Arabidopsis thaliana: one gene and its partner. The protein of the gene in region 1 interacts with the protein of each later gene in a pairwise test. Each region holds a gene or a part of one and is shown on either strand. Other genes may lie near its edges. The genes, in order: AT3G50940 and AT4G31330.

The links.
Region 2: the proteins of AT3G50940 (region 1) and AT4G31330 interact in a protein complementation assay, tested with the Arabidopsis thaliana proteins (one large-scale study listed by BioGRID).

Annotation. Positions count from the first base shown.
Region 1 is NC_003074.8:18,930,162-18,937,936, reverse strand, and holds AT3G50940 (P-loop containing nucleoside triphosphate hydrolases superfamily protein), read right to left. Parts: upstream 4,187-7,775; 5' UTR 4,106-4,186; intron 3,855-4,105; 5' UTR 3,852-3,854; coding exon 2,865-3,851; intron 2,778-2,864; coding exon 2,409-2,777; 3' UTR 2,326-2,408; downstream 1-2,325. Other genes in the region: ZAR1 (HOPZ-ACTIVATED RESISTANCE 1), read right to left, coding at 1-1,810; BCS1 (cytochrome BC1 synthesi), read right to left, coding at 6,390-7,775.
Region 2 is NC_003075.7:15,197,954-15,205,167, forward strand, and holds AT4G31330 (transmembrane protein, putative (Protein of unknown function, DUF599)), read left to right. Parts: upstream 1-4,334; 5' UTR 4,335-4,400; coding exon 4,401-4,568; intron 4,569-4,646; coding exon 4,647-5,198; 3' UTR 5,199-5,609; downstream 5,610-7,214.

The DNA of each region.
Region 1 (7,775 bases):
GAGGAAACTGGATCAACGGATGTGTGTTGCTCAAACTAAGACATGCTAAGTGTTGAAGGCTTGCAATCTCATCCAAAATCTCAGACAGAGGAGCATCAAATATGGATTTCGAGATATCGAGAACCCGAAGATATTTGCAGTCTGTGAATTTCTTAGCTAAGTCTGAGTTGAGCTTGTTCACTTCACCTGTCTTAGTTGTTGACACTACGCCTCTCAGCTTATGGTTAACTTTGATCTGCTTCTCATCAAAGTTTCCACTAATCCCAAGGTGACGACAGTTGAGGCCTTCCGGGTTAGAGAACGAATCCTTCTTGGCTATATCGATCACCAAATCACGAACCATGTCATGAATCTTGCAAGTGATGATGGTTCCGCTATAGGTTTTGTCTACAACTTCTATTAGACACCTGTTTGTGAGCCCGGAAAAGCAGTCTTCTCCAGATTCAGTTGCAGATCTTCCGTTTCTCCACATGACAAAACCTTCTCCGATCCATCCATGTACTAGTTGTTGTTTTGGTATAACACAGTCTTCTGGATAGAGCGAAAGCGTGAGAATGCACGACTTAAGGTGGGAAGGGAGTTCATCGTAGCTCAACTGCAGAGAAGACATAACATTGTCAGTTTCAGAAGTGTTTCCTCTTAGCTCATCCTGAAAATGCTCTGCAATTCGTCTCCATTCATGATAGACATGGTCTTTGCACAGAAGTAACCCACCAACCGCTTTGATTGTCAAAGGCAAACCTTTGCATTTCGTTACAATCTCCTTGCCAACATCCTCTAGCTCGGGACGCTCACAAGTACCGTCATTTGCTGCAAATGCCACATTACAAAACAGCAGCCAACTGTTATCAGGACTAAGGAGCTCTGGACGGTGAGTCTTGTCGTCTCTCGCTTGCACCCTTTTCGCTACAGATTCCGACCTTGTGGTCACGATAACGCTACCTCCTTGTCCTCTAGGCAGTCCTTGGTAGATCTTGTCCCACCAGCTCAAATTCTTGTCCCATACATCGTCCATAACTATCAAGTACCTTTTCCCCAAAAGATACTGCTGGATTTTTCTCAGCAATGTTCCAATATCATCTCCAACACTCGCGTCCCCCAAGTTCCTCAATATGCTTCTCATGATCTGTTCTTCAGTAAAAGTCTGGGACACAGACACCCATATCCTTCTTTCGAAACGATGTTCGATCTCTTTGTCATTGAACACTTCTTGAGCGATTGTAGTTTTACCTAGCCCTCCCATCCCAACAAAGGCCATTATCAAAAGCTGGCTGTCGTTTGATCGAAAGAGCCACTCCTTGATTTTTCTTTTATCTCCTTCCAAACCAACCACCTGAGTATGATCATACACCGGAGAGCTCCACCGATCAGTTCCATTATCTCTTCCAACATTACTCGGCGTTATGAATTCGAAATAAGGCTCTACTTGACTCTTTATTTTCGTTATCCTCTCATTGATCTCTTGCAAACGTTTGCTTTTCTTGTACTGCAACGGAACCCGGGCAGGATGAAGCCGCGAAAGCCACGCATTTGATGACCTTTGCTCGTTCCCATCATCACCATCCGCGAGCTGACAATCCACAAGTATATCCTCAGCTTCGTAAACCAGTTCTCGTAAATCCGCAACAAGAGTACGCAACGTTTCATTAGTTCTCTTCTGCCTCTCTGCATCCTTGAGAAAAGACTGCATATATTTCAATTCGCTTTGCAAATCTTCCAACTGTTTTCGGTAGTCCGATACGGTTCGGCCTTTTTCTTCGAGGATGTTCAAGGTTTTCTCTAAAAACACTGTTACAACAGCGTCCACCATTTACTCAGACCCTGCAACTTCAAGAAATATCTCTAATTGGTAAACTATAACCAAGCAATAATTCAATCGGTTATGTGTATCATCACTAGATTGAACTTTCCAAAAATCAATCAACCAACGACTATAGAATCTCAATAACCAAAAGATTGGATTATTCTTTAACTAATCCATATCTTCTCAAGAAACATGTAGAATCCTAGAACATTGAAACAAATCTAACCAAAGTAAAGTAAACTTACAAGGTTGTGACTTAGCCTTAGCCGAGAAGGATCTGAAGCTTCAGATCTTTGGATTTTTTTAGCAAAACTTGTTTCAGAAAAATGAGCTTACATAGAGACTTTATCGAAATTGAAGTCAATGGTTTAACAAGTCAAGAGTCAACCTTACTCGTTTTCTTGGTTACTGCTGCCGACTACGAAACTTGTCTCAATCTACTTTAGAATCTTATCATTGAGTTTAGACATGTTCTGACCTCATAAAACAATATCCGCATTTCACTTAGGAAAAAAAAAAATGATTTCACTTTCTGTAACATTTTATAACCAATAATTGCATGATAGTGTTTAACAAAGAAACAAATAAAAGAACTAAATTTCTTCTAAGCTTTTGAATTATCTATTTGCTTCTTGGCTTTTAAGAACTCAACAAGTCCTTGGAGTACTTTATCCACAGAGTCACTCCTCATCAGTTGTTCAGCTACTTCTGCTGGTGTAACTTCAATTTCTCGGATAAATTCTTCAATCTGCTCGAAAAGTATATGATCTTGAATCTCGAGATAATTCGAAGCCAAAACCTTAAAAGCAGCTGGTGTGCAATACGACATGTGAATGTGCATGTCCATACGTCCTGGCCTCAACAATGCTGGATCCAATTTTTCTCTGTAGTTAGTCGTAAACACTATAATCCGCTCGTTACCACAACTTGACCATAGTCCGTCTACAAAATTCAATAGACCAGAGAGTGTGACCTGAAAATGACTAACCAAAACATTAGTAATGCTAATAAGCAAAAGATCACATAACAACATAACTGATAGTGAATCAAAATGCATCACCGTTTTATGTAACGGATCGTTGTTTTCTTGATCAGTAGACCGATCTTTTAACTCGATTGAACAATCTATATCTTCCACAACTAGAATGGAACGATTTGCAGTAGACATAAGTAACCTCCGTAGCTCAGCATTGTTGTTAAGTGATGTCAAGTCTAAGTCATAGATATCGAAGTTAAGATGATTAGCTATAGCTGCGATCAAGCTTGATTTTCCAGTACCGGGAGGACCATACAACAAATAACCTCTCTTCCAAGCTTTTCCAACTCTCCCGTAAAAGCCTTTCCGCTGCACGAATCGATCAAGATCCTCCACCAAGTTTTTCTTCACCTCGGGATCCAGAGCGAGAGTGCGAAACGTGGAAGGATGATCTAGAGTCACAGAGGTCCACTCCACGGAGTAAGAATCAACGGTGAAGATCTTCAATGTTTTAAACTTTTGTTTAATAGAAGCAGCTTGTTCCACAACAAACGGTAAATAAGATTCAAGAACCATGTTCTTGAACTTCTTTCGGAAACTAAGCTCGTAACTACGCACTTCTGATTTCAAAGTGGAGTTGAGATCTCTCGGGTTACGAAAATCCTTTTTATCGACATGGCGACATACAAGGATCCAACTAAGCTTGACGCCATCAAAAATATCAACAACTTCCTCATCACGTTCAACAGTAACACTATAATTGCTCTGTTTCTCAAGTTTGTTAACTTTGATTCTTCTAGTGGAATTAGATATCTTGGTGGAGAGATAAGCCTCTGCAGCTTCAAACACTTGGTTGTGTTCAAAACCTCCAAATTCTTCTATTACAGCTGTCATCTGATAAGAGAAGTAGCTGAAGAATCTGCGAAAGCCGTGAGAGATATATTCATGAACCTCGTTTGGCATGTAATCTTGAACCACTGATCGAGCTAGTATTGCGGCTGCAGCAACTGATGCAACCGCTGTGAGAGCTGTTTTGGCGGTGGCTAGATGAGATTCACTAGAGGAACTCATCTCCTTCAATCATCAAAAATAAAATAAATACATTCAAGTCGGTTCTCATAAATCAAAGAGACAAGAAACTAATCCAAAAAAAAATCTGATTATAGAACAATAGTACTGTATTTGTTACTAGGTTACGTGGGGATAAATCTGATTAGGTTAAACAAACGATGCTATTCTTTTGATAATTTTACGATGAGCACACAAATTGGAATCTTAACAAGTAAAAAAAAAAAAATGTTAAGGTTAAGGAGAAAATTTGATACCAGTTCTTCTCTTTTATTTGATGAAAGGCTTCTGCGATCAATAATAAATTTTCACGAATACCTCTGATCATAAGATTGAGATAATTAGGGAATGAAAGATTACTATTTAAATGGTGATGGAACACTAAATGAATGGTCTATAGTGGGCCAAGATTACGGCCCATTTGATAAAGTATCGTTAAAAATGAAAACTTGATAGCCCCTACAGACTTCTAGAGTCTGGTCGCTGGCTCGCTGCAAAAATGCAAAGTCTTTGCTCCTTAACATATATGCTGACTTGTCTTTTATACTTGAAAATTGTAATAGTAGTTTTAATGTTAGAATGACATGTTAGCAAAATATTTACTTTCTTGAAAAGTAATTTTTTCTTTGTTGAAAATAATTTGGATTATATTTCGATTTATGCGTGTCTTATGCGGACTATACTAATCTTTTATGTATCGTTCCAATTTTAATAGATGTTCTTCGAGACAACATTTTGGAAAATATTTCTAAGAAGATTGTTTTATTTTTGATGATTCTTTACAAAATATCTAATAATTGGGTTTTTTCAAGTTCATATATGTTTCTGCATCCTTTGTTTGATTTTTTTCTTTGTTGATTTAACTATGCTTGTGTTTAAATTACTATAGTGCTTACCCAATAGTAATTCAAATATCTCTCATTTGACTTAATGATATTAACTAATATAGAATCTAAAAAATAAAACATTATGAAACAAAATCTAGAAAATATTTTTTTATGAACCGGAGGAACTAATGTAAGATATTAGACTAATACCAAGGTTTAGTTATAATAATTTTCAAAGTATAATTATGCTATATAAAAAAATTATGGTAGAAAAAATCTCGTTCGATAAAACAAAACTAAAGAGAAAAACATGCAAAACGATATTTCTTCTAAGCTAGCGTCTTGAAGGTAGAAGGATGGTTAAGAGTAACAGAGGTCCATGGGTCTGATGAGTACCAGTAATCTGTGTCGAGAGTGAAGAGCTTGGGCGTTTTCTTCTCTTTTATTCACCTTTTTTTGCATTAACCAATAAAAATATGTTATAAATCCTATTTAAATTACATAATAAATTAAAGCTATAATTATAATCCAAACCGATATAAAATCTCGTTTAATTACAAAATCTAAACTCTAATTTTCCTTTATAAATCCAAACCGCTATTTAAACTCATTTAATCGTAAGAAAACTAAACTTTAATCGTATTTTCTAAACCCAAACCGACATTTAACCTCGTTTAATTGTAAAATCTAAATCTGTTTATAAAACTAAACCAATATTTAACCCATTTAATCAGAAAATCTAAACTCTAATCGTACTTTCTAAACCCAAACTGATATTTAACCTCGTTTAATCATAAAATCTAAACCCTAATTTTTTCTAATAAACCCAAACCGATACATAATTTTGTTTTAGTGGCAAATTAGATTTTATAATTAACTTTCTATTATTGTTATTAGGTGTCCGATTTTAATTAGGTAAAATAAAAGAAGTTAATATAAAGTTCATTCAAATATTTTTCTTTATTTATTTGTAAAGCATCTAGGACTGACGAAAAAAAAAAAGCATCTAGGATTAGGAGTCAAAGACAAAAATAAATATAAACACGAAAAAGGAAATAACTCGAAAAGGAAATGACATTTAAAAGCCCAATTTTAAGGAAAAATAGAAATTGAGGAAAAGGAAGAAGATCAATTATACATCTACAAAGAAAGGAAGAAAATTAAAACATGTACGGCCCATTTAATAATAGTATTGACTAAACGAATTGTGTAGTGGTGCCAAAATTTTGGCCCACTTAATTAGTGTCAATTCCTTTTCTCGATACAAGGAAGGAATCATTGAGATTTTCTTTTTTGTCGGAATCATTGAGATTTTCAATTTCACAAATGTGGCTTGAAGATATTATTTTATCGGTGAGATAAAAAAAAATCAACTGTCATAAATTAAGATTCGGAAAGTTAAAATTTAACCTTTTTTTTTTTGTCGGCAAACTTTTTTTTTAGTAGCTTAAAACAAATTGTGCTAAAAAAAGTTAGAAAAAAAACAGAGAGAAAAAACAAGCTAAACGCATAGTTTTGTATAAATACACGTGCTCTTCTCTTTACAGCTACCACTCGGATGCAGAGGTGTTTTATCTGATCTCCTCAATTTTTTCCCTTTTTTGGTCTCAATCTCTCTAAGATTATTTTATCTTAGGACTAGGTTTATAAATGAATCTGTAGATTATAGACAGTAACTGGCGATTTAATGATTTAGGTATTGATATCTCACAAGTTAATGTTGTTCAACCTCCTCATGTTTGGCTTTATCTTGGTCGTCCTCGATCTTCTTGGCTTTTAACAACTCGACCAAACCCTCAAGAACCTTATCAACACGGTCATTCCTCACTAGCTGTTCATCAACCTCTTTCTTGACTACGGAATCTGTTCCCTCCTTGGTCTTTTTCTTGTTCTCCAACTCTTGCTTCTCTGTTTTGGCCTTATCTTGTTCGTTTTCGATCTTCTTGACTTTCAAGAACTCAATCAAACCCTCAAGAACCTTGTCTACAGAGTCATTTCTCATAAGCTGTTCAGCTACTTCTGCTGGAGTGACCTCTGTCGCCTCAATACCTTCCTCGATCTTGCTGAAAAGGCGGTGCTCTTTGATCTCAAGATAGTTCAAAGCAAGAGCTTTGAAAGTACTTGGTGTGCAATACGACATGTGGATGTGCATATCCATACGTCCTGGTCTCAGCAAGGCCGCGTCGAGTTTCTCTTTGTAATTGGTTGTGAAGATTATGATCCTTTCGTCACCGCAGCTTGACCATAGACCATCTATGAAATTCAACAGTCCAGAGAGTGTCACTTTTTTATACCGTGGATCTTCTATATCGTCAGATTCCCGAGGAGGTTCATCGCTAGTCCTATCTTTCAATTCTAGTGAACAATCGATATCTTCTACGATAAGAATCGAACGATTAGCAGTGGCAATCAATAATCGCCGGAGCTCAGAATTGTTGTTAACCGCGGTCAACTCTAGGTCGTATATATCAAAGTTGAGATGATTGGCCATGGCTGCGATCAAGCTTGACTTCCCTGTGCCTGGTGGACCGTACAGCAAGTAACCTCTCTTCCAAGCTTTACCAACCCTTTTATAGAAGTCTCTTCGCTTTACGAATTTGTCTAGATCTTCCATCACACTTGTCTTGACATCTGAATCCATTGCTAGAGTTTTGAAGGTAGAAGGATGGTCAAGAGTAACAGAGGTCCACGCGTCAGAGTAGTTCCCATACATGTTTTCTGGGGAGAGAGTGAAGATCTTGAGTGTTTTCTTCTCTTGCTTCATCAACGTGGCTCTTTTCACCATGAATGGCAAGTAAGATTCAAGAGCTACGTCTTTGAATTTCTTGTGGAAGTTGAGTTCGAATGATCGGACCTCAGATCTCAGTGTGGAGTTTAGATCCCGTGGGTTGTGGAAGTGCTTGGACTCGACATGACGACAATGGAGGATCCACTGGAATTTGACGCCATTGTAGGTGTCAACAACTTCTTCGTCACGCTCCACGGTGACATTGTAGTTGTTTTCTTTCTCATGTTTACTCACTTTGATTCTTTTGTTAGAAGGAGAGATCTTGGTGGCTAGATAGGCCTCTGCAGCTTCAAAGACTTCATTGTGAGCAAA
Region 2 (7,214 bases), on another chromosome or scaffold:
TGCTGAACAATTTTAGCTTTATCATGTCTTTAGCTACCTCAATAAAGAAACTAGGCCCTGAAGGTTGTAACAAGCAAATCCTTTTTTCTTAATTGAAAACCCTAATTTTACAACTCCGAAGCCCAAATTATCTTTGTACTTTATATTATACTGGGCTATAATAAACGGATATTAAACACACGGTTTTTTCAGAGACTTTTGAAAGTTAATAACTCAAATTAATGGTACCCAATGAAATAGTCGCGCAGCTGCAAGTATGTAGACGTGTGTCAAGTCTCCAAAAGAAATGGTTAAATACGTCACTATGCATCAGTCTATTTATGATTTAACCAAAAGCATGGACCGAGTAACATGAAAGTCAAGACAATAACCGATTACCTTTTATTAGAAAACTGTCTATATCCTCAATGAGGTTTATCTCCAAGTTTTCCATCTTTCTCAAATACGGTGACGTTTTTTGACTTCGCATACGACCAAAATTTCTAACTATACTATACTATACTATTGTGATTGCAAGATCTTCTTTCGTTTGATTTTGGTTTCTTGTGATTCAAAATATGAAGATTTTATGTAGAACGATTTTTTTTCTTTTTCTTTTTATACCGAACTATTCTATAAGATTGCGCTGATACTTGACTCAGTTTGAGATTTTTTTTTTTCTTTTTTTTTTTGCCAAACATACATTTTTCAAAATAAAATAATGGTCCAATGAGTTTCAGAGTTTAAGATAAACTTATTTTACCTGTTGATAAAAAAATTCCTTTTAGTTTCACTTTTAAGACTTAAGTTGCCAAAGAAAGTATATTATTACTGATCAACAGCATTACTTTTAAAATTGGGTTCCACAAATGAGAGCATATAATTCCTTATGTGGGAAACAGGATTCGATCATCAACGCCTAATACACACAATGTCGGATCTGTGGCGAATGACTAAGCCAAAGAACAATGACGCATTATCATTAAGTCGATCTCCAAGCAACAAAAAAAAATATGATTCATACCGTACGTCTATGCAAGAAAGGTTTATTTTATTTGTCAGATGAGCAATCGATGGTAACACAATTTTTGAGTCAATTCGTTTTTTTTTTCCTGCTGGAATGCATAGTATTTGCGTATTTGATGATCTTTAAGATAAGCACACTCTAAAAAACAAACTCTAGTCCTCTCAGAATAGATATGAACCGAATGTATAATCCAATCACTTCGTTGGTATATAAAGATACTTAGGAGCACATTGCTTATGGGACGAGGCAGCAAAGGAATTTGTCTAGTGAGGGACAAGTATCTAAAAAAAGGTATACAACGACACATCGTTTAGTTTAGCTTAGTAAGCAAATCTTCAGATTTATTTATTCACGATTTTATGCTACATATCTATAAATCTGACACGTACGCATTAAAGACAAACATCTTATGCTACTATATATGATTAATCATAGACATGTGCTATAATTAACCCTTGTGTTCTAAATATGTGTCTCTTTATAAAAAAAAAATATATATATATATATACTTGTATATATCACATATGTGAAATTGTCTATAATAAGATTTATTTTTTTTTGGTAAAATTTTAAGTAATAAGTTTATATTTGCGATTTTTTCTTACCGCTTTTAACTATTCCAGTATTGTTTATCACTTTTTTATACATCCTTCAAAAATATTATATCGTTTGTGTCACCGATCGTATATATGTCATGATAATAGTTTTTCTTGTTCATTATGTGATGCATAAAATTCACGTCACACAATTTGACAGGATATGATGAAACAGTTTTAGTGAAAACAATCACAAACATTGATATGAAAAAACTACGTCCAAATAATAACAAGAACGCAGCCAACTTGCCTATTCAAGAAACTATAGTGCTCTATAAATAATACATTTTGAAATTATTAAAGAACCCAATATATATATTCCTCGATGATTGATCTAGCTTTTGAAGTTTCCTTTAGTTCTAACTAATGAGGATATAAAGAAGGAGCACTATCAAGTTTGAATTACAAAGGACTCAAATTAGGAACCAAGCCGCACTTCCCGTCCAAGAACGTCACAACAAAATTAAGCTTGACACTCTTAAACAATTATTGCATCTCTATTTTTACTTTATTCTCATTTTGATTCGTCAAATATAGCAATGACAGATTCAAAAAATCAGTCCATTTCTACAGCTAAAATACTTTCAAGATAATTAGAATCATGTAAGTATAACCACAAGCATGGATAAAACAGAACCAAAGTTAAACCAATTCATCAAAATGACTAAACAAACTGGCCCCTTTTCATTTAAACCGGAACAATTCTTGTTATTCATTTAAGAATTAACTGGTAGTTTTTGTAAAAAAATGCAATTTATTAGATGAATAATGTCATTCGTTTTAATAGAATGTTCATTGCAATGCTGTCATAAATGAAATAAATATGCCCATTCATTTTTTCTGCGTTTGGAAAGTGGAAGAATTTTTCAAGAGGATCGGTCATTCATGCATGTAATGATGCAACGGAATAAGAATAACCAAACATTCGATCGAAAGTACTTAAATACCTAAATGTGCTTGTCTTAAAATATATCTAAGATATAGGATTCAAGATATCTGAATATCATATATAAAAAATGAACATACAGATACAGTGAATATTTGAATTTATGAAATATGGGATTGCTCGATTGGAAAAGTACCATAGTCCATTAGTCCGAGTAAAGGTTTTAAAAGCTTATCCGAATCTAAAGAAATGTACGAATTTTGGCTTAGAATCTCTTAATTACAACAAAAAAAAGTTATTAGGTATTAAATTTTTCACCTGATATTGGTGATTTGCTATATACATCTGATTTAGATAGAAAACAAAAGTTATACTTTGAGATAAATCCAAAACCCTATATTCTGGGGCTCTATAAATGTTATTAATTACCGTCTCTTTGTAGCGCTTACTCCACACAAAATTGTAATATTTAAAAGATTTAAAAACACCAAAAAGAGATAAGTTAGTGTGAATTGTGGAAGTAACAGCTAGAATTCCAACGTGAAGGACGATAGTGAATGAAACACCCAAAACCAATTAAACTTAGTCATGATGAGAGGGATGCATGAAACTAATCGGCGATGGTTAAAGGTCAGCCTCATCTCATGTCTGTGTCTTATCTCATATATGATAATCACCCACAATATCTGTATATGGTCCTCGTCAGATTTCACTCATTTTGTATCCTCGAGAAATTATGCAGTACTACTAGTTACTTATTGGCAGATTTTTTATTGCTCCATTTCCATAGTATATATAATATCATTTAATTTGTAAGATATATTAGTGTTTTTGACAAAAAAAAAAAAAAAAAAAAAAAAAAAAAAAAAGAAGAAGAAGATATATTAGTGTTGTCTATCAACATTTATCTGTCGGATTCACCAGGTATTAGGAAAGAAGCCCGACTATTTGTTTCGAAATTTTATTGTATGTCACATGAATACGTTTCAACGTGATGCATATGTTATTAATGTATACATAGATACATACATCATGTTGATATCCTTTCAAGAATATCTAGATCATAAATTCATAATAGATATGTTCATAGCTAGAATTAGAAGAATACTTTACTAGAAAATGAAATGAAAATGATTAGCTATCTGATAAAATGATTAAAAAAAAAAAGTCTACTGAAGGAGGATGATAAAGTTTAAGTGTTGAGATTTTATTCAAGTTATGTAGTATACAAAAAAGGGGATAGTTTTAGACTTTTAGTAGTACGAATAGCTAATCTTCTAAATTAATTGCTATCTATTACACTACACTATCAATAACTAAAAATGAATAAATCTAGTGCAGTTTATTCAATAAAAATGTCACGAATTTTACATAAGTTGTAAACATCCATCTATTAAAACATAATCACACAACATCTATTTTGTTGGAATACCATAAACTTTTACTTGACGGCTACATAAACATGATACATGATTAACATAGGCCTTTTAAAAAAGCAAATATATATGACTAGAAGAAGAAAGCAAAAGAAATGGTAGAAGACAGAAATCAAAAGCGTGCAAGAATTATATATACTATGATATGGGCTCCAACTAGAGATCACTTGTTGACAAAGAAGAAGAAAAAAAGAGAGAGAGATCACTTTGGAAATAACAATGGCGAACAAAAGGACAAATATATGCCACGTCATCCCTCTCCATCCACCTTTATGTCATTTCTCAAAAAAACAAATTTTTTTTATCCGATTCATTATCAAAAAATAAAATTAAAAAAAAACAATTATTTTAAATTATTTGGTTAGTGTTTCATTATAATTTTTCTTATAAATAGGGTCTTTAAACCTTCCAAGAAGTCATATAGAAAACGGCTTCATAAAAAGAAGATAGAACTTGGATAAGTTTAGAAGATAGAAATGGAATGGAGAGAATGTTATTTAGATGTGATATTGGTGCCGCTAGGGCTAATGGTGTATGCATCTTACCATGTTTACTTGTGGCATAAGTTACGAACACAGCCTCTCACCACTATCATCGGCACTAACGCTAGAGCTCGCCGATTCTGGGTCGCTTCCATCATCAAGGTAACTTCAATTTTCTTATATAAACATCTTCACACACATAAATATATGATTTTAATTTTATGTATTTGATTAAATTAGGACAACGACAAGAAGAACATCTTGGCCGTTCAAACGCTTAGAAACTGCATAATGGGGTCGACTTTGATGGCAACAACATCGATCCTCCTCTGCGCTGGTCTAGCTGCGGTTTTAAGCAGCACATATGCAGTGAAGAAGCCTCTAAACGACGCTGTTTTTGGAGCTCGCGGAGAGTTCATGGTGGCTCTCAAGTACGTCACGATACTCACCATATTCCTCTTCTCCTTCTTCTCTCACTCTCTCTCAATTCGTTTCATCAACCAAGTTAACATCCTCATCAACACTCCTTTTCCTCCTGAGGAGTTGGAGGACGAGATGATGATGACCGCGGAGGAGTACGTGGCGGAGTTGCTAGAGAGAGGGTTTATTTTGAATACTGTGGGGAATCGGTTGTTCTACGCGGCTTTGCCGTTGATGCTTTGGATATTTGGACCGGTGCTTGTGTTTTTGTGCTCGGTCGTGATGGTTCCTCTACTTTACAACCTCGATTTCTTCTTCTTCGGTAAAGAAAGAAGAAAACTTGATCAAAAGTCTAGTTTTGGATCTGTGTAAAATCGAGTTCTGGTCAGTAGAACAAGTGATTTGTAATTAAGTGATATCATCGTCCTCTTTGTTAAATCCTGGACTACCGATGAACGCATGAGGACTTTACATGGAAGTTGAAAAGTTCGAAGATCATAGTTTAGGTTTCAATTCTAGATCTTCCGATTAAGAAAAAAAAATGTAATTAAATAACGCATTATAATTTTCATATATTAGGGTTTTTCGGCCGTATGTATTTGGTGTGGTGTAATATATGTCACGTTTTGGTTTATTGAGCGTTATTATTGGCATTTCCATGTGGGTGACTTTATAACGTATCAGCATATCTCACAGCTCTCTTGGTATGTACGTTTCTCTTTTTTCTTTTTCTTTTTCTGTTAGTGTTTATATGCATGTGGCTTACGTTGGGCAAGAAACGGGACAAAAAATGTGATGTTCACATCTATTCCGTGCATTAGTATCTGTCTTATTAAGTTTTGTTGTTATGTTATGTGTTAGGAACCAGTCGTCACGAGGCTATTTAAATCCTCCCTAAGACAATGTAGAAATATACCTACACGGTTATTTTTCTGTGTAGTATGAAATCAAACTGTTTAGAACTCGTTTAGAGATGACAATTCAGATTATGATGTTAGCTAATTATATCCGAATCTAGTTCTGAAGCCCATGTTCGCCTAGATTAAAATTGTATCATTGTATGTTAACTAACTCTATTTTTCATATATATATTTTCAATTTTGGTTTAGATTAGGTAAACAAAAAGCTATTTCATGCTACAAACAAATACAATTTTAGTGATGAAAATTTTCGTAGTTAAAACTTTAGTTTCGTACGTAGCTAAATAGCTAAACGACAGTTGCTAAATAACTTACTCGTGACTATCCGTTGATACACAAATTTCATGGATAATAGCTACTGACCATTTAACAACGAGATAGCCAGAGATATATCATAGAGATAGCCAATTAAACTGTTGGCAAAAGTACCATGGGCTGTCCTTAAGTGGGCCTAAATCTAATAAAATTATAAACTGTGGCCTGTTAGGCATGTGATATTTTTCTCTTTTTCTTCAAGCCTTTTTATAAAAATAAATGTCAAGAGATGATGAAGGCATTTGCACTTTTGAAGAATTGAAGTAGGAGCTCAAAGCGAAGGATTACGATGATAGACATCTCTGTAATGATTTAACAAAACTCAAATACAACATCAAGTTTGGAAGATCACTGGACTGTTTTGTGTTTGATCATTTACTCACCTGTAATTCTTTTTTACTAATATATAACTTATAAGAAATCATAAACTATAATCTTTTTTTTTTTTGGGTTTAATGAGACTTTTTTCTGTCCTTTTTTTGAACACCTGTGAATCATAGACTATAATCGAACTTCATCCCCTTTTTTTTTTTTTTGGGAAACTTAGAGAAGAACAAAACATTTGTGAGGCTGATGATTTGATGAGACCGCAACGTTGGAGAACTTTGGAGTATATTAATAATATACATTTTCAATATTATCAGTATATGCATTTTCAACTAGGCCTTGCTTTATACACCGGAGATTATAATTAATGAAAAGATGAATTACGTTAATGTCATTGCTTCTGGTTTGAGTTGGCAAACTCCACGTACCACGTACATATAATTATTATTGAGTAGTTGCTAATTAATTATACTTTTGTCTTGTTAAAACTAGTATTATAAATTGGTTAATGCCATAAAGCAAACGATAGACCAGACACATCTCTGATAATCCAGCGGTACTTATTTGTCATGATTCTGTGATCCAATCAATTAATCGTATAGATTTAGCTATCGCGAATCGTGATTCCAACCTTTACATAAATTCTTTTTAAATTAGGGCAAATTGTGTTGGATCAAGCATAGTAATAACATAATACGTACTTATAAAATTGTTAACGTGCCGGTGTTGTTTGGAGAGAAAAACAAAGATTCTTAGCTCTCAGGCAATTAAAAAAACGAGTATCGAAAAATTCAGAATAGAAGTTGCTTAGTTAACGAGAAATTAA